Linked DNA regions of Drosophila melanogaster. The protein of the gene in region 3 purifies or fractionates together with the protein of the main gene of each other region. This does not show direct contact. Each region holds a gene or a part of one and is shown on either strand. Other genes may lie near its edges. The genes, in order: Rrp6, Rrp4, Dis3 and Rrp42.

Region 1 (6,724 bases), 9.4 Mb from region 3:
TCAACTTCACTCTATAAACTTCTAAATCAAAAATATTATTTTTCAGATCGTTGAAAAATAAAATGGAGACCATCCGCCTGCTGGACCTTATAGATGCGTCTATTTTCGACTACCTAATCCAAAATGGAGATCGGCATCACTACGAGACGCGGGAAGAGCGCGTGGTGCTTATAGACAATGGAAAAGCCTTCGGAAACCCGAACAAGGATCACTTGGACATATTGGCGCCACTCTACCAATGCTGCCTGTAAGTCTTCGACCAATTTCCAAATACCTATAACTATTTACGTTTATACCTTACAGTCTGCGAAAGTCCACGTGGGATCGCCTGCAAGTCTTTTCCGGCGGCGTACTCACGGAAATCATCGATCGACTATCCAAGCAGGATGCTCTCTATCCCCTGATTACGGATAAGCATAAAAAAGGAGTGGAGCGACGACTTCTGGTGGTCTATGCTGTTGTGGAGCACTGCATGGACATCGAGGGCGACAAAATGTTCAAAACTCTGTAGTTTCAGCTCAAGATTGGGGCTAATGGCCAGCACTAGAGCTTTAGGAACTCACTTTCCACATCCTACTTAAGCTAAAGTTAGATAGAGAAATTATCGTATTATTTTAGTCCATGTTTTACTTCTGTATTTCTTCCAAATATTTAAATGCCCGAAACAGGTTTTTTCCTATTTTAAATTAAGTTCTTTTGTCCTTTCTTGTATTGGTTTGAATGCTAGAAAAGTTTTCGAAAAATTGAGATGCCATCCAATTAGGAATTAAATCATACAAAATTCGTTGTGACGAAATAAGTTTGAAATTTAAACCTATTACCATGACATTTCCCACGTCCCAATTATTATTTGGTTTTCCCATATTTTTTCAATGACCATCTCTTAAAACTGTTCTTAAATATTGAACTACAAACCGATCCATAACAACATATCCGATAGTCTAGTTTAATGAATAGTTACGGTTGTTATTTAATAGGTAATATTTTAGAAAATTGCAAAGCTCAGAAAAAATAGTTTTGTAACTTGAAAAGAATTTATAAACAATCAAAAATAAACACTTGTTTATTTCTTCATCAGTTTCATCAATCAGTTTTCGTGTTGCTCGCATTCTTACTATTGAATTCACATATATACCAGTTATGTATATTTTACAGACTTCGTCACGATTGCAGTTCATTTTTTGCCCTCTTTTCTTACATTACTAAATGTAAAAAGCTTGTTGAACTGCTTGTTGTTCCGATTGTTGGGACGGTTCTAAAAAAAAAAACAAGCGTTATAAATGTTTAGTGAAGAGATCGTTTCAGTAAAAGCTAAGCCAGCTTGTTAATACTTTTCATAGCACTCACCTTGCCGCGAATTTGCTGCTTGATTTCTGTGCCCCGGGCTCTTTGCGCTCCTCCCTTGAATTGCCGGAAGTCCACGTTCTTGTAGTCAAAGTTGCCTGTACCCTTGTGCTGCGGAACCTGCTGACTGGAGCTCTGCGGGTGGTTTCCTCGATTCTTGGCCTTGAATCCGCGCTGGAACTGATTTTTCTTTTGCTTGCGGTTGTTCTGTGCCGGTGATGGTTTCGGTGGCTCTGTGGCTTGCCTTTCGATAGGAACCTCAACGACCTCATCATCGCTTTCGCCTAAAGCCTGCTGAACTTTTTCGACTGGTTCGATCTTTACCGGCGGTTTGGTTTGTGAATTCTCGTCCTTGCGAGGTCGCTTGCTAGCAGTCGGCTGCTGTTCCGGATCTGTTTTCACGTTCGCTTGTGGGTGCTTGCGCTTCAGTTGTTCCTTCAGCGGGACGGAGTACATGTCATCATCCTCCTTTCCGATGGCGTGTGCCTCCAGCTTAATGTTTTGCTCCACAGTTGGGGCTGCTGGACACAATTGCCTCTTTTGCAACTCACTTCGCTCCCTGGCCAACTGATCGGCCTTCAGCTGCACCATCAGAGGTAGGATGGCGAGATAGCGTTTGTAGGGCATACGCATTGTCTGGCTCTCCTTGCGAAGATGGGCCCAGCGCTGTTCCTCTTCTTGTGTCGGCTTGGACTGCTTTTCGAACAGAGCCATGGCTGGTGCCGCTAAGGTTGGATCTACTTTGGCAACCTCCTCCTTATTGGGCACCTCCAGTTTTCCTGTAGTTGAATTACGTTTCAACAGCGTTGGCAGGTCGTCGCGAATCTCCTCCAGTTGCGAAAAATCGTGCGGACAGTAGAGCTTGCTGCTAAAGTCTTTGGTCGACGGAGGCAACGCTGCCTGTGTACTACTGTGGGCTTCCAGGATCGGCTAAAATCGTAAGTAAAGTCAAGAACATTAAACATTAGATATACCACCCCAACACTTGGTAACATTAAACCTATTTTAGTTGACCTGCGGTTGTGAAATGAATTGAACTATAAGGTGAATTCAGAACATGTTCTTCATTTCAATGTTAGTTACAGTTAATTGGTAATGAAAAATTATCGGTATAGGCGCCAACGTTGATCGAGTTGCAAGCGCTGCTTGAAACCGCCAAGAAACTCACTTTGACCAGCGGCTGATCGCGCGCCTTGAGGACAATCTGGTGAAGCGTGTGCAGCTGTTGGCGCACCAGCGGCGGAATGGGATTGCAGCAGGCGAGGATTCCCTGCATCTCCCTTGGAAGACTCTCAGCGATTTGCAGCATCATGTGATTGGGCAGCACATAGCCGTAACTCTCGTCCTCTGACCGCGCCGTCGCATCGCGCCACTCGAAGATTCCGCGAAGTGCGTACAGTTGCCGGTTGTCGAAAGAGCGCTTCGTTTTTCTTACTAAATCCAAATGGGATTCTGGTCCGATGTGAGGCTTATTATAACGCTTCTTGCAGACATCCGTGCTCTGTTGATAGACACTGCCCAGCAGACCTGGTTCGGCATGCTGCTGCAGCAGATCGTTTGTCATCCGTCCGTAAACGTATATCAAAAAGTGGGTATCCTGACGAGCGTAGTCCACCAGCTGCTGGGGAAGCGGTCTCATCCGCCAATCGGCCAGTTGCAGGCTCTTGTCCACATCCAAGTCCAGATAGTGCTTAAGCAAATATGCCAACGATAACCTTGCCATATTCAAGGCTTTGGCAGCCCGATGCGTGTCGAACATGTTGACGATATACAACGATAAGTCCCGCTGAAGCCACTCAATATCCAAATCGGCGCCGTGCAGTATCTTCAGCTTCTTGGGATCGGTGAGTACCAAATTTAGTATATGCATATCATCGCGTAGGATCAGGGTATCAAAAATATAGTCTTTGCTGCGAGTAGACATCTGGACCAGGCAAGTGATGCCCATGAAGGTGCGATACGAGTGGTGCTCCACATCTATGGCGATCTGGGGCGCTTGTCTCAGTTCCTCCAATGCCTGCTTCAGTTTTTCCACCGTGTCAACCACCATTAGTTCGGTTTCTGCCATCAGAGCTGGAAGCACTGGCTTTTGTTTTTGGAACTGCTCCTCCGGAGGCTGAAACTTAAGCAGCTCAAACTCGTAGGGATGCAAATAGGATTGGACATTGCCGGCATCATCGTATTCGGGCAGCAGGGCCAGCGGTTTAAGAGAATTAGGTTTCTCCTTGAGTCTTGGAACAAACGGATTCTGGGCACTGTTATCCACCGGCTCCCTAAATTGCGTCTGCGGCCGAACGATGTTCTTGGCGGTGAAGAGACGAGCCGAAACCATGCTGCGTTGGGGTGTTCCTGTCGTTCTGTTCCAGCTGCCTGCCTTTGGAGTCCCTTGGGTTTGTGGGGAAGCTACTGCGGGCTCTATGGATGTGGAGCTGCTCATCACGTCCACCTGGGCCTCTACGACCTGTTGTGTATTTCTTCGCAGACCACCTTTAATGTCTAGATTAGTCGTAATGCGCTCGAACAGTACGTCGTTGCACTCCTGCACCATCTCAAACTGCTCTTCCGGTTGGCGTCTGTTTAAAGAATAAAGATCTATTGTTATTTACAGATACAGGTACCAACTTTGATTTCAATGGCTGTGCTGTATTTTCAACATTTCGAATAATGTCATGGTTAGAAGCTTACTTTTTGATGTCGCCCTTGATGTCCTTGGAGTGCAGCACGTTCCCGATGAGCGCCACCACCCGTTGGGTCAGGTCTTCCATAACACGTGCGTAGCCTGGATAGCTTAGGTAAAGGGCGCGGGCTGTTCCTTGTGGGAAAGCATTAGCGGCTTTTGTGGCGGCGATTGCATTCTTGAACCCTTTCTGGAATGTCAGAGCAGAACACGTAGGGATTGGATTGAAATATACTTATGTACGCTGGCTGAATTGCTACCCACGTTTGTGAATGCCTCAACATCTTCTGAAGCGGATTTCTTTGGCGGCTGGTCTGCTTGGGCCGATTCCTCTTTGGCCTCCTGGTGAACTCTTTTCGGGGTTCGCGGCATGTCTGTATAGTGTTTCCTTGTCGAATGTCTTGTGTTATTTTCGTACAAATTTTTTGTCGTTTTACAGATTGTGGAAAATGTGCGTGTTTTCTCTTCTTCTTTTTTGAGAATAACAACAGCTTGAATTTGGAGTTTGTCAACACTACCGGCGGCGAAATTTGATCACTATATAGCACTAAAACGGTGCTGACCGCAATCGAATTAAATCGATATGAAGGTGTATTTTACAAATGTTAGCCAAATTTGGAATGGTGATATTTCGTTATGTTAAACCGTAAACAGAACCTGCTTTGATGAACAATACTTTACAAATTCTTTTTAAAAGCAAAATGTTATTATTATATTGAACTAAATATATATTCCTTTCAATATAAATTAAACTGAATAAATATTTTCTTTGTTAAATATTTGGTCTTTTCTTTTATTTTTTCAAGAGGGCGCTAAATTGTTCAAGTGAAACCCTGAACAAAATTTTCAGCCAGCTGATTGCCAGTGTGTACACCCCTCCGGCGCCGGCGAAAAGCGAGGAGCTTGACCGAGAAGCATCAACTCCATCCAGAAGAAGTGGAGTTACGTGCTAAAAAAAAAGTAATTATAAAGCCTAAGTTTAGTCCAATTAGGAGGTAAAACACGCACAAGATGCTGGACCTATACAGACGCACGGTGGCGCGGTTTCCTCTGGGCAGTGTCAGCTATATGTTCGCCTACGGATCCGGCGTCAAACAGCAGGAAGGCTATGGAAAAGTCGGCAATGGAAACAACCTGCGTCCTCCGCCGGGAACCGTTGTGGATCTGGTCTTTTGCGTTCGTGATGCTAGGGGCTTCCATGCGGAGAACCTGCACCGTCATCCGGACCACTATTCCGCCCTTAGGCACCTGGGACCGAACTTTGTGGCCAAGTATCAGGAGCGTTTGGGTGCGGGTGTCTATTGCAACACGTTGGTGCCTCTGCCAGATGTGGGCATTACCATAAAGTACGGCGTGGTGTCGCAGGAGGAGCTGCTGGAGGATCTGCTTGACTGGCGGCATCTTTACTTGGCAGGAAGGCTGCACAAACCAGTGACGAATCTGGTCAATCCTTCTGATAATCCTCCCCTCAAGGCTGCGCTGGAGAGGAATCTTGTATCCGCGCTGCAAGTGGCTCTGCTACTTTTACCAGAGAAGTTCACTGCCTACGGACTTTTCCACACCATCGCCGGACTGAGTTACAAGGGCGATTTCCGTATGATTTTCGGGGAAAACAAACAGAAAGTGCACAACATAGTTAGTCCGCAAATCAATGACTTCTTCGCCCTATACCAACCCTCCCTGGGACAACTTTCCGACTATGTGGCGGTAAACATGAAGGGCCAGGAACCAGGGAGCCGGAAACCAGCCATAATCTTCGAGCAGGACAAATCCTCATCGGCTACATGCCAACACCTGCGACAGTTGCCCCGAGAGCTTCAGAAGCGATTGCAGCGAAATGCCGCCTGTCGTGGCGACTACACCCAGGTGGTGAATCACCTATCCATGGCCTCCCAGCTTCCGGAGGTGCTGCAGGCATCCGTCAACGACATTGTGTGGCGCAGCAGTGTCACGCAATCGATCAAAAATATTCCCAGTGCTGGCATTCTCAAGTCATTGGCGTATAGCTATCGCAAGGCTCAAAAGACATTCGCTGTTTAGGTTTATTTTTCGGGTTAATCCCCTGGCTGCCAATCATTCTACCGACTAAGTTGTCCCATCCAGCTGCATTTTGTTAAATACTTTTAAGCTTTAAAGTTGTTAACTGCAATATAATGTTTAGCCCAATCCAAAGACCTGAGTTTTCTTGGGGATTCTCTCTTTTCACATCCAATGGACCTCTTTATAACCTCAGGAATATCTTGGTTTACTTATTATTTCATTAATTGTATTTGCAGATCATGTCCAGCGACGACAATAGTAGTGATAGCAATTCGTCCAGCGATGAAAGGCAAAGGAAACGGAAGCTTAAGAAGCACAGCAAAGATGTGGACAAGTCCAAAAAGAAGAAGTCGAAAAAGCACAAGAAAGAAAAGCGTCGCCACAAGGAGAAGAAACGCAGCAAGCATGAGGAGGAGCCACCTGTGCCTTACACGCAACCTCCACATTTAATTAATGCATCTCCGCCAGATGTGGCTACAAACAACGAAGATTCCTTTGGTCCCGCTTTACCGCCGCATTTAAGGAAGACCCAGCAGCCGGAACTCCCTGAGCAAAGCCAACCAGCCCCACAACCGCAGGCCATGATAGGACCCGTCCTGCCCAGCAATTTGACCCGGGAAAAGTCTCCTACTAAGGAAGCGGAAGCTGAGGACGATGATGACC
Region 2 (3,956 bases), on a different chromosome or scaffold from region 3:
CCGCAATCCGTGCTCGCTGCCCAGGAAAATGAATACCGCTCCGTTTCCCGCGAAGGGCGCTCCAACGGCCAAGTCTACATGTGAACTAATGAGATACTATATCGAATACCCAGAGGATTACTCACCGTTGTATCCGTCGTGGTTGATATCGCCCACTTTAGAAAGCGAACTTCCGAAACGGGCACCACTGCTCAATGGCAAGCGAATTATCTTTTTCTCGAATTTAAACTGAAGCGGGAAATAGAAGCAGTCTGACTAATGGCGATTATAGGGAATTCGGTTAACTCACCAATCCCTTGTTGATGAACACGTATATGGCACCCACGTCATAGGAATCCCCTAGAGCGTTGAGTGGCGCGGATACGACCACATCCGTTAGTCCATCGCCATTGAGATCTTCCGCCACCACGGAGTAACCGAAGTACTCGCCCAACTGCTCGCCGTGAAACACATGCAGCTTACGGACTATCTCTCCCACAACGTCGAAAATGTATGCCTTGCCGGTATTCAGGACAGAGCTCGGCGCGGTGGTCACGTAGAGCAGACTGGTCCGGTTATTGCTGCTAAAGTATCCGGAGCTCAGGGCGTAACCGACGTATGTGAAGTGATTCTTTACCCAATCCCACGAATCGAGCATCTTGACTGCATAGCTTCCCTGGGCAGCCAAATCTTCTCCGCGGTGCACTAACACCGATCCCTTCCAGCTACGGACTCCCGGGGCGCCGATCAGGAACCCCGAGTTGTCGTCCGTCACATGGGCACTGAGCCCCAGCTCCAGCATGAAATGTTCTTCTGCTTGCGAAGGGATTAGACTGATAGTCCTCACGTCGCTCAGCGGAGGAGTGTCTGCCACTGTGTCCCGAACCCAGTAGCAAATTCCTCTCATTTGGCCATAGTTCTTGTTCTTCGGCACGAAAAACCGAGGTGCGCACACGAGCAGCTTGTCCGTATCCTTGGTGCCGCCATCCATAGAGCCGCCCAGCCACTGGAATTGCTTATTTAGCTTGTCGTTTAGGACGTAATGCGAGCAGGATCCACTGGCCAGGGGGCATCTGTAGACAGCTCCAGTCTCATTAATGCTGCCTTGCGATTCCAAGGTGGACTGAGCACGCGGAGCTCCCACGAAGATGCTGCATTGATCACGAAGTTTTTTGTTAGAAGGAACTTCATGGAATTTCAAGTGCAATCACAGTCTGGGATCGATAGCTTCCCTAGGATAAGATCTCACCTGGTTGGACGGATGACGAGCGAGTATCCAAAGTAGGAGCTTCGCACTTGGATCATTCGGGTTTTTAGGTGCTTTGGAGCATCTATCACTCGATTCGGCAATGGCGAAAAGTTCATTGCATTGCTCTGGTATTTGAGAGCCAAAAAAATTAGGAACAGAAGCCGATGCATTTTCTACTTCAAGTTTTTAGTCTTATTCTAGAAAATATTATTCCGGATGGGAATGTGCCTGCGAGCTCTGAGGCAATCCAACTGAAACAAGATGATGAATGTTTCAGAAGTCTAATGGAGCTTAGCTAACTTAAAGAAGACAGATAACTTATCATTGAAATGCCAGAGCAATTATTTCAAAGCTGTTCTTTAAAATTATAATTTGTATGCTGCTTATCTAAGGACAAACTCAAAAATGCTTTCGACATATATATTATACACATTAACAATAAATGTTATTTCATAAAACTAAGGAAACTAAAAACGTGATTTTAACAGTTTTTTTTAATCCCCTTTACTTTTATTTTATTTCGATTGTATGTATTTTTTGTTAGGCAATAGAATTTGCAAGTCTTCGTTACATTTACTTTCGAATTTCAACAAAATTGGTTTTTAAAATTGCAATTCGCCGCAACCGATAGGCACTGTAGTTGCGGCGAAGAAATGGAACTTGAACCGGAACCAGCAACGAACCCCGAACCCGAACCGGTTCCGCGTGGCGCGTGTTTTGCCAGCTGTTGCTCTTTTTGCCTCGCTCAAAATTAAATTTTTGTTTACCTCGCTTTGGCCAAACTGAGATGTCCACCAACGCGGCGATAGATCTGGCCCTGGACCGGGTGGACTGGCGCGACCTGGCCGCGCAGACGGAGGAACAGCCGAGGGTGTATACGCCGGGGGAAGTGCTGATGCCGGAGGCGGGATTCATGCGCGGCCACGGAACCTTCGTCGAGGACGAGAACATCAAGTCCTCGGTGGCCGGGGTGATCCAGAAGGTCAACAAGCTGATCTCGGTGCGCCCGCTTAAGAGTCGCTATGTGGGCGAGATCGGGGACGTGGTGGTGGCCCGCGTCAGCGAGGTGCAACAGAAGCGCTGGCGAGTGGACACCAATTCCCGGCTCGACTCCATCCTACTGCTCTCCTCGGTGAATCTGCCAGGCGGAGAACTACGACGGAGATCGGCGGAGGACGAGCAGATGATGCGACGATACTTGGACGAGGGCGATCTCATCTCTGCCGAGGTCCAGGTGGGTACTTCCTAACTTGCTGGTACTGGAGTAACTATATAATCTTTCTTCTCTGGCCACCAGAACATCTTTGAGGAGGGCTCCCTTTCGCTGTACACGCGCAGTTTGAAGTATGGAAAACTATCGCAGGGCATCCTGGTCAAGGTGTTCCCCGCTCTCGTCAAGCGCCGCAAGATGCACTTCCACAACCTGCCCTGCGGCGCCTCCGTGATCCTGGGCAACAATGGCTACATCTGGATATCGCCGACCAAGGGCCAGGAGGAGGAAGGCGGCGAGGGAGGATTCGCTCAGAACCTGAACGAGCATGTGCCGCGCGCGGATCGGGAGGTGATCGCCCGGCTGAGGAACTCCATCCTCGCGCTGGCCAAGTGCAAGCTGATGATTTACGACACCAGCATCCAGTACGCCTACGAGGAGTCCCTGCGCTACGAGGCCCACGAGCTGCTCCAGCAGAACGCCATCTACGACATCGGCCAGCAGACGCAGGCTCGTCTGAGGGACGCGGACGAGTAGTATATATGCATATACATATATTTTATACACAAGTAGCTTAAATAGAGGTTAATGTATTTTCTACCGTCAAATGAAAAATTAACATTTCAATGGGTTCGAAATTGGTGGATTTCAAAATTGCATCAGTGGGCTAAAATCTTAAATACACTGAAAACTATCGCAAGCTTTCTGTTTAATAAAAATGTTCATTTGATATTTCCTGAATTTGTATGATAAATGTTGGTTTCCTAATAAAAAGTCAGGTTTTCTAAAATACACAAACTCTTTAAAAAAGAAAACATTTATTGCATATAAGTTAGGTTTTATTGGCGTTTAAAAAATACATACATTTTCATAGCACTTTAGTTTTAGTTAAAAGTTTCGACTTAAAATTACTTTTAGTTAAAAAGCAGCTAAAATATCGATATTTTACCAGGACGCGCACCGAGTGGCAGCACACATTAGCGATCCGGCAACGCCCTGGCGGTTTGTGCAAATGAAAAGTGATTCTGCCTGGATGATAAAGGGACTCGGCATAAATTTTTTATTTTTATGTCATCCCATATTAGTGTGACGTTGTATTTGTGACAAATACTTGATTGTGTAAAATAAAAACAAAAAGTTTCGCTAGCAAAATTCACACAGAAACATCGATATCTGCATAGTGCACATCTCTAAGCGACGCCAAGCGATTGTTTTCCTCTCATTTGTAATCTGTACGCACTTTGCAAGTGAAATTCCGCGTTTCTACCGCCGCCCGGAACGAATTACCGCCAATTGCCGATGGCCGCGAAACTGGAGGTGCGCGAGGCCATGCTGACCGAGAAGAGGGTCTGCCGCTTCTGTCTGACCGAGCAGAAGCTGGCCTCGATTTTCGAGGAGAATCCGCGGGTGAAAACAACCGCCAATCTGCCGCTGCAGATTATGGCCATCACGGCGATCGAGGTAAGCGGCTCCATCCATGGGTTCTGGCTTGCACTAACCAGCGCCACGCATAACTTG
Region 3 (6,916 bases):
CCTTGGTGAGCTGGCCACTGAAGTAGGGGACATCTCGTAAGCTGAAGATGTTCTGCATAATGCAGGCCGCATCGGTGTAAGAGCCAGCGGGATGGACCCGCATTTGGGCGTGCAGCAGCTCCAGGTGATCCGACAACAATCGCAGTGGAATTAGGCCCACAAACTCCTCCAGCTTTGGATTCCCATCTTCATCCTCTTCGTCATCTTCGGCGGCGAAGGTGATTTTAACTTCCAGTCCAGCGTCTAAGGCATTGGTTATCTCAACGGGACAGATCTCACCAAGCTGGAACTTGTCCTCCGGCAAAGTCAAAGTGATTTGGTCCTTGTTGCGTGTTAGGATGCGGAACTTAGTTGTTTGTCCCTCGAAAAATGAGCTATTTTCCTTTAGATTCTGCCTGTGCAAAACTCCTTTGATGCCGTTGCCGAACTTCACTAGGACGTAAGTGTCCTCACATCGGACTACTGTGCCCATATAGACGTTTCCAACGTGAGCGGACGCATAATCAGTCAGAATTTTAATTCCCTTGCCCAAATACTCGGCACGATTGCTCACGTAGCAGATTTTTCGCTCGGCATTAACTTCTAGGACGCGGCACTTCAACGACTGACCCACATCGTAGCGGACATTGGGTGCCAGATAGAACTGTTCCAGTATTCCGTTGACCTTGCCGATCCTCACCGACCAGCCCTTGATCTTGTCATCCTTCTTGAATATTTTCGCTGTGACCAGATCGCCGGCATTAATATCCTCCAGGCAGAACAGCTTTTCGTTGACCACGTTGGGATCATCGGAGCAGTAGTACAAGGATTCGATGACATCGTATCCTAGGATGCGAACCTTATGCTTCGTTTTTCTTCCGTATTTGGACAATACTTCGTCCTTGTCATAATTTCCCTTGAAATTGCCTCTGATTGAACCGTATGAGATAATGCCCTTTAGTTTCTTATTAAGAAGCAGTACCACGCCACCGCTGCCCAAGCGCAGAACCTTGGCTTTTTCCACCACGGAACCCACCTTTATGGGCTCTACCTCCTGCTCTTCCTCATCCTGATCTTTTGCTACTGCAGCTCCAGTTTTGATATCCAGATTAAGAGTTAAGTACACTAGTTTGGTTAGGGGCATCACGTAGAGTACCCTGGCATTGTAATCCTCATTCAGCTCGTAGGCATCCAAAGTATCCAAAGCGTTAGCTAGATGATGTTCGTTGACGTAGGCACTAAAGGATTCATTCATGATGCTGCCTTTGAGGCCATCCTTCAGATGCTTGGCCACCTTAAACTTTACAATGCTGCCTGGCAGAATGTAGTCGAGATTCGTCTCGTTTTGACTCTTGATGCGCAGCTGGTCCTGCTCCACCTGGACACAGGTGCAGGTGCTCTGGTGGGTGTCGTGATGAACGGTTTTGACTTTTAGGAAAGCCAACTGCCCCACGTGTAGCTTCTGAGCTGGCTTCTCGCATGGCACGAATGCCTGAAGTCCTTGTACTCCCGACTCGATGACATAGCCGTGCTCCAGAGCCTCCGCCACGGCGCCAGAGAAGATGAAACCCTTCTTAATGCTCTTGTGATGCAGATTACCGTGCACATCGGCCGGCTTGAGGGAAAGGAGCAGGCTAACCCGACCGGTGTCCAGCTTTTCTGTTTTGATGGCCTTGCCGTAGACGATGCGGCCCAACTGGAAGAGCTCGGTAAGGTCGTGGTACTCGCTGGTGTCTCCGGACATGGCCGCCTTGGCCACACGGGTGTAGGCGTCGGATATATCCGCCACCAAGGTGCGGGCGAACATCCGACCGGGCAAAGCGATCTGCAGTGCGGTGGCTGTCAACTCCTTGACCACTCCCATGACCAGCATGTCCTCCTGCAGCGTGTCCATATTGAGCGTTTCCGCGGAGAAGGCCTCCAGTTGGCCATTTTGTTCCTCGGTTTCGTAGCTCAGAAGGTTCTCTTTTACTTTCGGCGCCTTCTTCACCTTCTTCTGCGAGGCACCGAAAACCTGTGGGACAGAAAAGTATGTACAAAGATCTCGGATATTTCGCTGGCTAAACTCACGATATTCAGGCTCACGTCGTCGGTTTTGACTTCGCTGTGGATTGTCCCGCCTCGGGGAAAGCTTTTCTCGTTCGGCACCATCCGGGAGCTGTGTAATTTAGCGTTTTAAATAACAAAATTTGAGCAACGTGCGTTCTACACGTGCTAAGCGCCGATATAGAAAATCAGTTCAATAAATGGTACTAAATTATACCTTAAGATACGGGGCAGTCCGTAGACTCAAACCACTGTGACCATTGCGGCTGCAGTGTGAACAGGCCTTAGGCAGATAATACCGCAGTCGAATCATGCACGGGCCTCCCTATTCCGGCACACATGTGAAGGTGTAACAATTCGAACGCGGTTCAACAAAATGCAAACTTTACGCGAATTTACGCGTAAAACCAAGCGCGGCAACATTCTGAAGATTGTACGGGAGCACTATCTGCGCGACGACATCGGCTGCGGCTCCGAGCTGTGCCGGGAGTGTTTCCAAAACGAGGTATACCAGCTCACCTCGCAGCACGCGAATAAGAGCACCCTCTTCAAATTCCCGCACTATCTCGTTTTGGACACAAATGTGGTTCTGGACCAGATCGACGTGCTGGAGGAGGATGTTTTGCGCAACGTAGTCGTTCTGACCACCGTGCTCAACGAGGTGAAGCACAGGAGCTCCGCCATTTACAAGCGATTCAATGAGATCGTCCACGACCGCACCAGGAACTTCTATGTGTTCGTCAACGAGCACCACAAGTGGGTTAATGGATTTTCTTGGGAAACCTTTATAATATAGTGCTTCTTCTAGGGAAACCTATGCTGATCGCGAACCAGATGAGACCGCCAATGATCGCAATGATCGGGCCATTCGTCTGGCCACCAAGTGGTACGATGATCACCTGCAGGCCTCGCAATCCTCTAAAGAGTTCGAGCGCAGTGGCAAAGCTGCTACGCGAGTTGTTCTGCTCACAGATGATGCTGCCAATCGTGCTAAGGCCGAAGCAGAAGGTATTCTGGTGACCACAGCAGCGGAGTACGTGAAATCTCTCGAGGATTTTCCACTTCTGATGGATAAGCTGTCGCACAAAACATTCGACAGCGAGAAGAATGGTCTGCCCCAGTACCCGCCGCATCTCAGCATGAAGGAGCTGCTGGAAGGACTGCGCCAAAATAAGCTACTACAGGGCACTTTTCAGGCATCCAGGGAAAACTACTTGGAGGGCACCGTCAATGTAGAGAAATTCGAAAAGGGGGTAAGTTAAAACGCTAAATATCTTCCCTGGCATACGCTTCACAATACGATTTCTGTTTAATAGATCCTTATCCAAGGACGCGAGTCTCTTAATCGGGCCGTGGATGGCGACCTGGTGGCCGTGGAGCTTTTGCCCGAGGCGGAGTGGTCAGCACCCAGTGAAATTGTACTGGAGGAGAAGAATGTCTATGCCGATGAAGTGCCCAGCGAGGAAAGGGCCAAGGATGAAAATGAGATGTTGAATCAGGTGCGTGCCGCTGCCTTATCCGCAGAGCGCACGCCCACAGGGCGAATTGTCGGTATTGTGCGACGGAAATGGCGACAGTATTGCGGCATCCTGCAGCCTAGCTTAATAGAGGATACAAATCGGCACATCTTTGTGCCCGCCGACCGTAAGATTCCGCGCATCCGTATCGAAACGCGACAGGCAGCAATGCTGCAGAACCAGCGCATCATCGTAACGATTGACACATGGCCGCGCAACTCGCGCTACCCACATGGACATTTTGTGCGCTCCCTGGGACCGCTCGGAGACATGGCCACCGAGAACGAGGTTATCCTGCTGGAGCACGACGTCCCGCACTGCAAGTTCTCGGACGAAGTGCTTAGCTTCTTGCCGAAAATGCCCTGGACAATTACTGACGAGGACTATTCCAAGCGTGTGGATCTGAGGGATCTGTACATTTGCTCTGTGGATCCCCCGGGCTGCACGGATATCGATGATGCTTTGCACTGCAAGGAACTACCGAACGGCAATCTGGAAGTGGGCGTTCACATAGCCGACGTAAGTCACTTTATTCGTCCAGGAAACGCACTGGACATGGAGGCAGCGGCCAGGGGAACCACCGTGTACTTGGTGGGCAAACGAATCGACATGGTACCCGAGTTACTCAGCTCAAATCTCTGCTCATTGGTTGGCGGTGTTGAGCGATTCGCCTTCTCCTGCGTGTGGGAAGTGGACAATGAAGCAAATGTGTTAAGCAAACGCTTCCACAAGAGCGTCATCAAATCGAAGCGTGCCATGACCTACGAGGAAGCGCAGAATATCATCGACGATGCCACGCAACAGAATGAAATAGCCAAGTCCCTGAGAAATCTTAATCGGTTGGCCAAAATACTGAAAAAGCGACGAATGGATAATGGGTAAGATTATATTAACACCTCGTAATCAAGTGAACTAAGGCATCCATAATTTACAGAGCCCTTGTCCTTGCCTCCCCGGAGATCCGCTTCCAGGTGGACAGCGAGACACACGAACCACTCGAGGTGGAGGTGAAGCAGATGCGCGAGACGAATTCCATGGTGGAGGAGTTCATGTTGCTGGCCAACATCACGGTGGCCGAGCATATCGCAACGGAGTTCTCCGAGTGCGCTGTTCTGCGTCGCCATCCTCGGCCACCGCCTACCAATTTCGATCCGCTGGTAAAGTCTGCGCGCTACCAGGGCTTCCAGGTGGACATCAATTCGGGACTGGAGCTGTCGCATTCACTGGACAAGTGTGTCAAGGCGGATAATCCGTACTTTAACACAATGATCCGCATCCTCACCACACGCTGTATGATGCAGGCAGTGTACTTCATCAGCGGCAGTCTGCAGAAGGAGGAGTTCTTCCACTACGGTCTGGCTGCTCCCATCTACACGCACTTTACGTCGCCCATTCGTCGTTACTCCGACATTATGGTACATCGCCTGCTGGCCGCCTCAATCGGCGCGGATAGCACCTATGCCCAGCTATTGGACCGAAAGTCAAATGAGGAGCTGTGTCATAATCTTAACTACCGCCACAAAATGGCTCAGTACGCTGGTCGCGCATCAGTGGCCCTCAACACGCATCTCTTTTTCCGCGGCAAGGAGGAGGATGAGGAAGGGTGAGTCGAAGAAACCACTAGTGGGCAACATTCTTTTCAATTATTACCCATCCCTAGATATGTGCTATTTGTGCGCAAGAATGCTCTGCAAGTGCTAATCCCCAAGTATGGCCTGGAAGGCACTTTGTATCTAAAGTCGGACAAGGATGGCAAGGACGGTGTGGAGCGCGTCAAGAGCGAGATTGTCTTCACCTTCAACGAAGAGGATCATACACAGCGTTGCGGTGACGTGGTGTTCCACTCCTTTGATCCAGTCACGGTTCGTCTTAGCCTGGATTCCAGCAATGTGCAGCACGAGAAGCTGATCTTCCGGCTGGTCAAGCCGTACATCAAGGGCTTCAGCGTGGAAACGACCACCGAAGGAACTGATAGCCAAGCGGTTTCTGCGGCACCTCCATCGAAAAAGACAAAGAAGGATAAGAAAAAGAAGTAATTCTTTGGATCTTTGCTTATGTGGAACTAGACTACGCTGAAGATGTGTAACTACAATCATTTCGTATAAATAAAATGTAAGGTTTTTAAATTCCGCTCCGTTTCGTAAACCTTTTCCACCGTTCCGGCTCTGCCGATCTCGGAGAGTTTCGAAAGCATACCTTTGATCGGGTGTTTTGTTTAAGGTTTTGGTTTCCAACTTGCGTTCTACATTCTCCAGACCCATTGCAAAGTTTCGACTACAGTGCGACGGTTGTGCTGAGCTCGTTTGATCCAAAAAATTCAAAAAGAATATATATAATAAATACATATATACATTAACTTGACTTGAATATATACAAGAACGGAAGTTATACAAAGTTACAATGGAACCCGGTCCTAGTGCAGTGAACTACGAAGGCAGTAAGTCGAAAAAGGTTTCGAAATTCATATGAAAAGGCTAAAAAATTTAATCAATGAGTAATCGCGTGATTTTTGCGGAACATATATTTATATCGGTACACATATTTTAATACGCATATTGAAAACATCAGTTAAAATAAACAACTTTTAGAACATCAAATAAAGTGCTTGGAAAACTAATATGCCAACTTTCGTTGTGATCTAAATGAATTCTATAGATTTTCGAATTTTCCAAAAACTATCTAAGTGGAGTCCAACTTTTTACAATATTCTTGGATTCTTGCAGTGCGATGTAGATAGATAGATAATTTATGCACAAGAGTTCAAGGTGATAAATATTGTGTTTTAAACCACTGCTCGCCAATTAAAATAATGAACTTTCGATGCGACTTTGAAGTGATTAATTAGTGTTTAGTTGTGCGCCCAAACTGTCGGCACTAAATATTAATGAATTCGATTAGCTTATTCAACAAGGAGGCTTTTAGGTCCAATATCCATCGCCAATCACGTGTGGATTATGCTCGGCGTCTGGGTGAGCCGCACACCCGACGCATATGTGCAGTACATGGGTGCCAGGTTGGGTATATAGAAATCAGTTGAGTGACCGCGACATTTGGAAAATTTAAAATTCAATGTGCCTGGTGTGTGTAAGGTGGTATGGAGTGGAAGGTTTGTAATTTAGTTTGATAGCCTAATTAAAAGCAGCGATTAACCCAATAGAGGAAACAATGAACCCGCCCATCTAATGGTCACCTGCTGCTATACCTTTTCCGCAGGTGAATCTGTATGCGGCATGCCGGTGGAGGCTCACGATCCTCTCTACTTGAAGGCCTATCGCCAGAGTGTTCAGAATCCGGCTGCATTTTGGGAGGAGCAGGGTAACCTGCTCGACTGGGATCGGCCATGGGAGAAGGTACTGGACAACAGTAATCCGCCA
Region 4 (4,048 bases), on a different chromosome or scaffold from region 3:
GCGGACGAAGTGCTCCGGTGAACAAGAATACACCGAAGTGGCACACAGAGATTACGCTCTCCATCAACGACGGCGAATTTAAGGGATTCGTCCGCGAGGATGGGCAGTTCATGATCAGCGGAGTGCCATCCGGCAGCTATATCCTGGATGTCCACCACCCGGATGTTTTCTATGAGCCGGTCAGTTAAGGGAATCCATTCAATATGATGCCAGAATCACTAAAAATTTCTTCAATTGCAGGTGCGCGTCGAGATCAATCCCAAGGGCAAGTTCCGCGCCCGCAAAGTGAACTTTGTGCAGCCCGCCCAAATTATGCAGGTGGCATATCCCCTGCGCGTGAAGCCACTGATGCCCTTTAAATACTTCCAGACCAGAGAGCAGTGGAAGGTGCATCATTATATTGCCACCAACGGAAGAATCACAAAACTAACTTTTGCTCTTGACCCACACAGATCACCGACTTCTTGTTCAGCCCCATGGTCCTAATGATGGTCTTGCCTCTGCTCCTTATGCTGGTGCTGCCCAAGATGATCAACGATCCCGAGACAAAGAAGGAGATCGACAATCTGCAGTTCCCAAAGGTAAGCCGTGAGGATCATGTATAGCACAGCACTATAGTATTATATGAATCATGCTCTGCTCCACAGATGGGCAACGATATGCCCGAGATCAGCGAAATGCTGACTTCACTGCTAACGGGCAAGCAGCCCGAGCCCAAGGAGAAGAAGCCTGCTCCGGCCGTCAGGCAGGCGAAGAAGCGCAAGGACCAGTAGTAGTTGGCCACCAGATAGCTTTTAGTATTAAGCTTAATCGGAGCGCCGAGCTCCAAGTCAGAGTCAGATCGTTTAAATAGTAAATTTTCATTACAAGACTTTGCCGCTTTATTTAAGAAATCCTACTATTTGCGGTCGCTTGAGTCCGACGCGCTGCTGCTCCAGATTTAGCATTTTAGTGAGCAGCCGGTCCAGATGCTCGCCAATGGCCAGACCCAGCTCCAGACAGTTGCGCATGGTGTCCCGGTGCATGGCTCCGCCGCCGGTCAAGTGTGTACCCGAAAGGAATGCCTGTCCATTCCGCATGGAAACTGACACAACCATGCTCACTGTGCTGCAGACTTCCTCCTCCGCCGAAGGATCCACCAGGACATAATCACCGATCTTGCAAACTGTGACCAACAGCGGAACCGTCTCGATGCCGATGCGGGTGCAGTCATACGGATTGTCCGATATGATGAGGTCTGTGATGCCGGCATCCAACATGGTGGCTGTCACCCGGGGCAGCTTTGTGTTGAACAGAGCCGCTTTGGCGGCCAGCGACACTGCGTCGTGTAGATTGCCGCCACACTCCAGAATCTGCGAGAACAGGGATTAGCATTTTCGGTATAATTAAGCACACTAGAGTCTAACCAGGATGTCTATGTACAGCTTCCAGCACTGCTGACCCGGAATGAGGCACAACGTGCGGTAGTTGAAGGCCAATGGCGATTCGTAGGCGTTCTGCAGGGAGAGAATAAGTTCTTGGGCCAGATCCGAGCCCCCGCGTCCTTCAAACTCCGGCGTGGCATTAGCAGAGCTGAAATATATATGTTATGGCATATTCTTCGAACTTCAGTTGCATCATTACCAATCCACAAAAAATTCCAGTTTACCAAACTCGGGCGTCAGCGGGTTGGGTACATCAATCTCGGTTTTGACGCCCACCAGTATGTCTGTGTTCGCCAGCCGAAGGCGAGCGGATCCACTGGCATTGCTAACCAGTCCAGTTTCCAGGTCCATGGGCCGGTAATCTCGTCGTGAACGTCCATCGCAACGAAAGTCATCCTGGAAACGCATAGTTTAAGGTACAGACTATATTTCTTGCATAACCGTTTAACACACCTCCACGCCGTGTAGAATATATGTTTTTTCAGCTTCGCTCAGTGCAACGTATGCCATTTTAGACTTAATTCAAGAAAACAAATATTCAAAACAAATTCAACATGTGCAATGAACCCACATCGATACTATCGATATACCGCAAAGCAGGGCTGCTGGCACTTCGTTTTTACTTTACTGAACTGTTGTCAGTGCGAAAGGTGTATGTTTTCATTTGAAGCATTTCATTTCACATCGCCATCTGGTAACACTTATCCAAAACAAGCCAGTCATTTCGTGTTCGTGCGGCGTTTCAACAAATATCAATTGTAAATTGAATTGTAACAAATTTAAAGATCAATATGCAGCCCGACTTTGATTTCACCGACACACCGGTCAGCACTGGTGTAAGTATGAAGAGCATCAGCCACATAACTTCGTACTAAGAGCACAATCCTACCTATTTGCAGACCACCATTATGGCAGTGGAGTTCGATGGCGGAGTGGTCATTGGAGCCGATTCGCGCACCAGCTCGGGCGCCTATGTTGCCAATCGGGTCACCGACAAGCTGACCCGCATCACGGACAAAGTGTACTGCTGCCGCAGTGGCTCGGCCGCCGACACCCAGGCCATTGCCGACATTGTGGCCTACTCGCTGAACTATCACGAGAATCAGACCAACAAGGATGCTCTGGTGTTCGAGGCCGCCTCAGAGTTCCGTAATTACTGCTACAGCTACCGCGAGTCCCTGCTTGCCGGCATCATTGTGGCTGGGTGGGATGAGCAGCGCGGCGGCCAGGTGTACAGCATCCCGTTGGGCGGCATGCTGACCCGCGAGTCCTGCACCATCGGCGGATCGGGATCTAGTTTTATCTACGGATTTGTTAGGGAGCACTACCGCCCCAATATGGCGCTGGAGGATTGCGTTACATTCGTCAAGAAGGGTAGGTAATCCCAAAAAAACCAAAACAGTTTCCCTTCAATCGAATCCCATTTAAACCTCCTCCAACAGCTGTCCAGCACGCTATCTACCACGATGGCAGCTCCGGTGGTGTGGTGCGCATTGGCATCATCACCAAGGATGGCATCGAGCGACGCATCTTCTACAACACAGAATCGGGCGCATCGGCTGTTTCCAGCACTCCCAGCTTCATTTCCTCGGAATAAATAGTATACCTACCCAAGTAAGATCGATCAGAGAAAGAGTTGCAAACTCGTCTCATGCTAATAAACCTGGTTTTTGTAATATGCATACTTTAATTTGTATTTTGGCTCTTATGGCAGTACAAAAGTTAGGTCTAGGGGCTAAAATGGTAATAAATAATCGAAAACCTAAACCTAAGATGCATAGTCATACAGATAGTGCTGTTCCTGACACTGGTCCTTCCTCACAACTCAGATAACTACTGCGGCGAGAGTGGAATGTTCCCTACGGGGAAGTCATTTCATCGCCTATCACATGACAGTCAATACCGATATCCTTCGCTTAAACTCTTATCCAGTCAGGTAGTGACCAGAGATTTAGGAGTTGAGTTTGGCCACTTCAGCTGCGTCTATAGACTGCGTCTCCATGGACTTGTTGGTGGCACATCGCTGCCTGCGGTGGCGGTACAATATCTCCGGTGTCCAAACAAGAACCACCACCAGCAGAATGACTCCTTGAGCATAAAGGCAGATTAGGTAGGAGTCGGCGTAGTCTCGCACCCATCCCAGCAGCTGGCCCACTGTGATAACAATAACGCCCTTGGACATCATGCTCAGACCCAGACCGCCGGCCAGTTTTTCCGAGCGGCAATGCGCCGATATGGTGAGATTGTTGTTGATTACAGTGGCTGATTTCATCATGCCTGTCAACACAGACATGGTGATGATCACGGGCAGCGTTTGATTCTCGGCAAGCACACAGCGAGCGACAAAGAGTCCAACAATGCCGATCAGGAACACTACGCGATAGGGTATTCTAAGGTGATCTGTGACGATGGGCAGCAGCAAACGGAACACAATGTCGGCGCCAGCCACAAGGGACATGCAGAAGGCCACCATTTGGCTGTTAAGTTGTGCCGTTTGTCCAAGAAAACCAGGAAAGATCATCGTGAAGTTTATGGTGGCCGTATAGACTAGAGCCATGCCCACAATGATGCTCCAGAATACTAAATCTTTGAGCAGCTCCAGATCCATTGCCTGTACCAACCGC

The links.
Region 1: the proteins of Dis3 (region 3) and Rrp6 purify together in Drosophila melanogaster (affinity purification with western blotting; 3 studies listed by BioGRID, with this or other methods). This does not show direct contact.
Region 2: the proteins of Dis3 (region 3) and Rrp4 purify together in Drosophila melanogaster (affinity purification with western blotting; 3 studies listed by BioGRID, with this or other methods). This does not show direct contact.
Region 4: the proteins of Dis3 (region 3) and Rrp42 purify together in Drosophila melanogaster (affinity purification with western blotting; 3 studies listed by BioGRID, with this or other methods). This does not show direct contact.

The regions. Positions count from the first base shown.
Region 1 is NT_033777.3:14,881,550-14,888,273, forward strand, and holds Rrp6 (Rrp6), read right to left. Parts: upstream 4,698-6,724; 5' UTR 4,394-4,697; coding exon 4,286-4,393; intron 4,212-4,285; coding exon 4,030-4,211; intron 3,918-4,029; coding exon 2,513-3,917; intron 2,275-2,512; coding exon 1,348-2,274; intron 1,256-1,347; coding exon 1,175-1,255; 3' UTR 949-1,174; downstream 1-948. Other genes in the region: CG3631 (uncharacterized protein), read left to right, coding at 47-247, 304-511; CG33331 (uncharacterized protein), read left to right, coding at 5,033-6,061; CG33332 (uncharacterized protein), read left to right, coding at 6,301-6,724. UniProt on the Drosophila melanogaster protein: Catalytic component of the RNA exosome complex which has 3'->5' exoribonuclease activity and participates in a multitude of cellular RNA processing and degradation events.
Region 2 is NT_033778.4:23,554,198-23,558,153, reverse strand, and holds Rrp4 (Rrp4), read left to right. Parts: upstream 1-1,936; 5' UTR 1,937-2,015; coding exon 2,016-2,462; intron 2,463-2,525; coding exon 2,526-2,975; 3' UTR 2,976-3,136; downstream 3,137-3,956. Other genes in the region: ItgaPS5 (integrin alphaPS5 subunit), read right to left, coding at 1-74, 126-228, 290-1,130, 1,229-1,398; pita, read left to right, coding at 3,738-3,899.
Region 3 is NT_033777.3:24,331,092-24,338,007, forward strand, and holds Dis3 (Dis3), read left to right. Parts: upstream 1-2,341; 5' UTR 2,342-2,401; coding exon 2,402-2,781; intron 2,782-2,833; coding exon 2,834-3,278; intron 3,279-3,341; coding exon 3,342-4,420; intron 4,421-4,476; coding exon 4,477-5,145; intron 5,146-5,202; coding exon 5,203-5,578; 3' UTR 5,579-5,942; coding exon of another isoform or gene 5,943-5,979; 3' UTR 5,980-6,157; downstream 6,158-6,916. Other genes in the region: Rrp5 (ribosomal RNA processing 5), read right to left, coding at 1-1,993, 2,050-2,130; CG6432 (uncharacterized protein), read left to right, coding at 5,943-5,979, 6,756-6,916.
Region 4 is NT_033778.4:16,012,864-16,016,911, reverse strand, and holds Rrp42 (Rrp42), read right to left. Parts: upstream 2,005-4,048; 5' UTR 1,935-2,004; coding exon 1,878-1,934; intron 1,821-1,877; coding exon 1,624-1,820; intron 1,573-1,623; coding exon 1,407-1,572; intron 1,353-1,406; coding exon 882-1,352; 3' UTR 862-881; downstream 1-861. Other genes in the region: EMC7 (ER membrane protein complex subunit 7), read left to right, coding at 1-179, 241-387, 453-581, 648-773; Prosbeta1 (proteasome beta1 subunit), read left to right, coding at 2,216-2,260, 2,324-2,798, 2,867-3,021; CG8389 (uncharacterized protein), read right to left, coding at 3,376-4,048.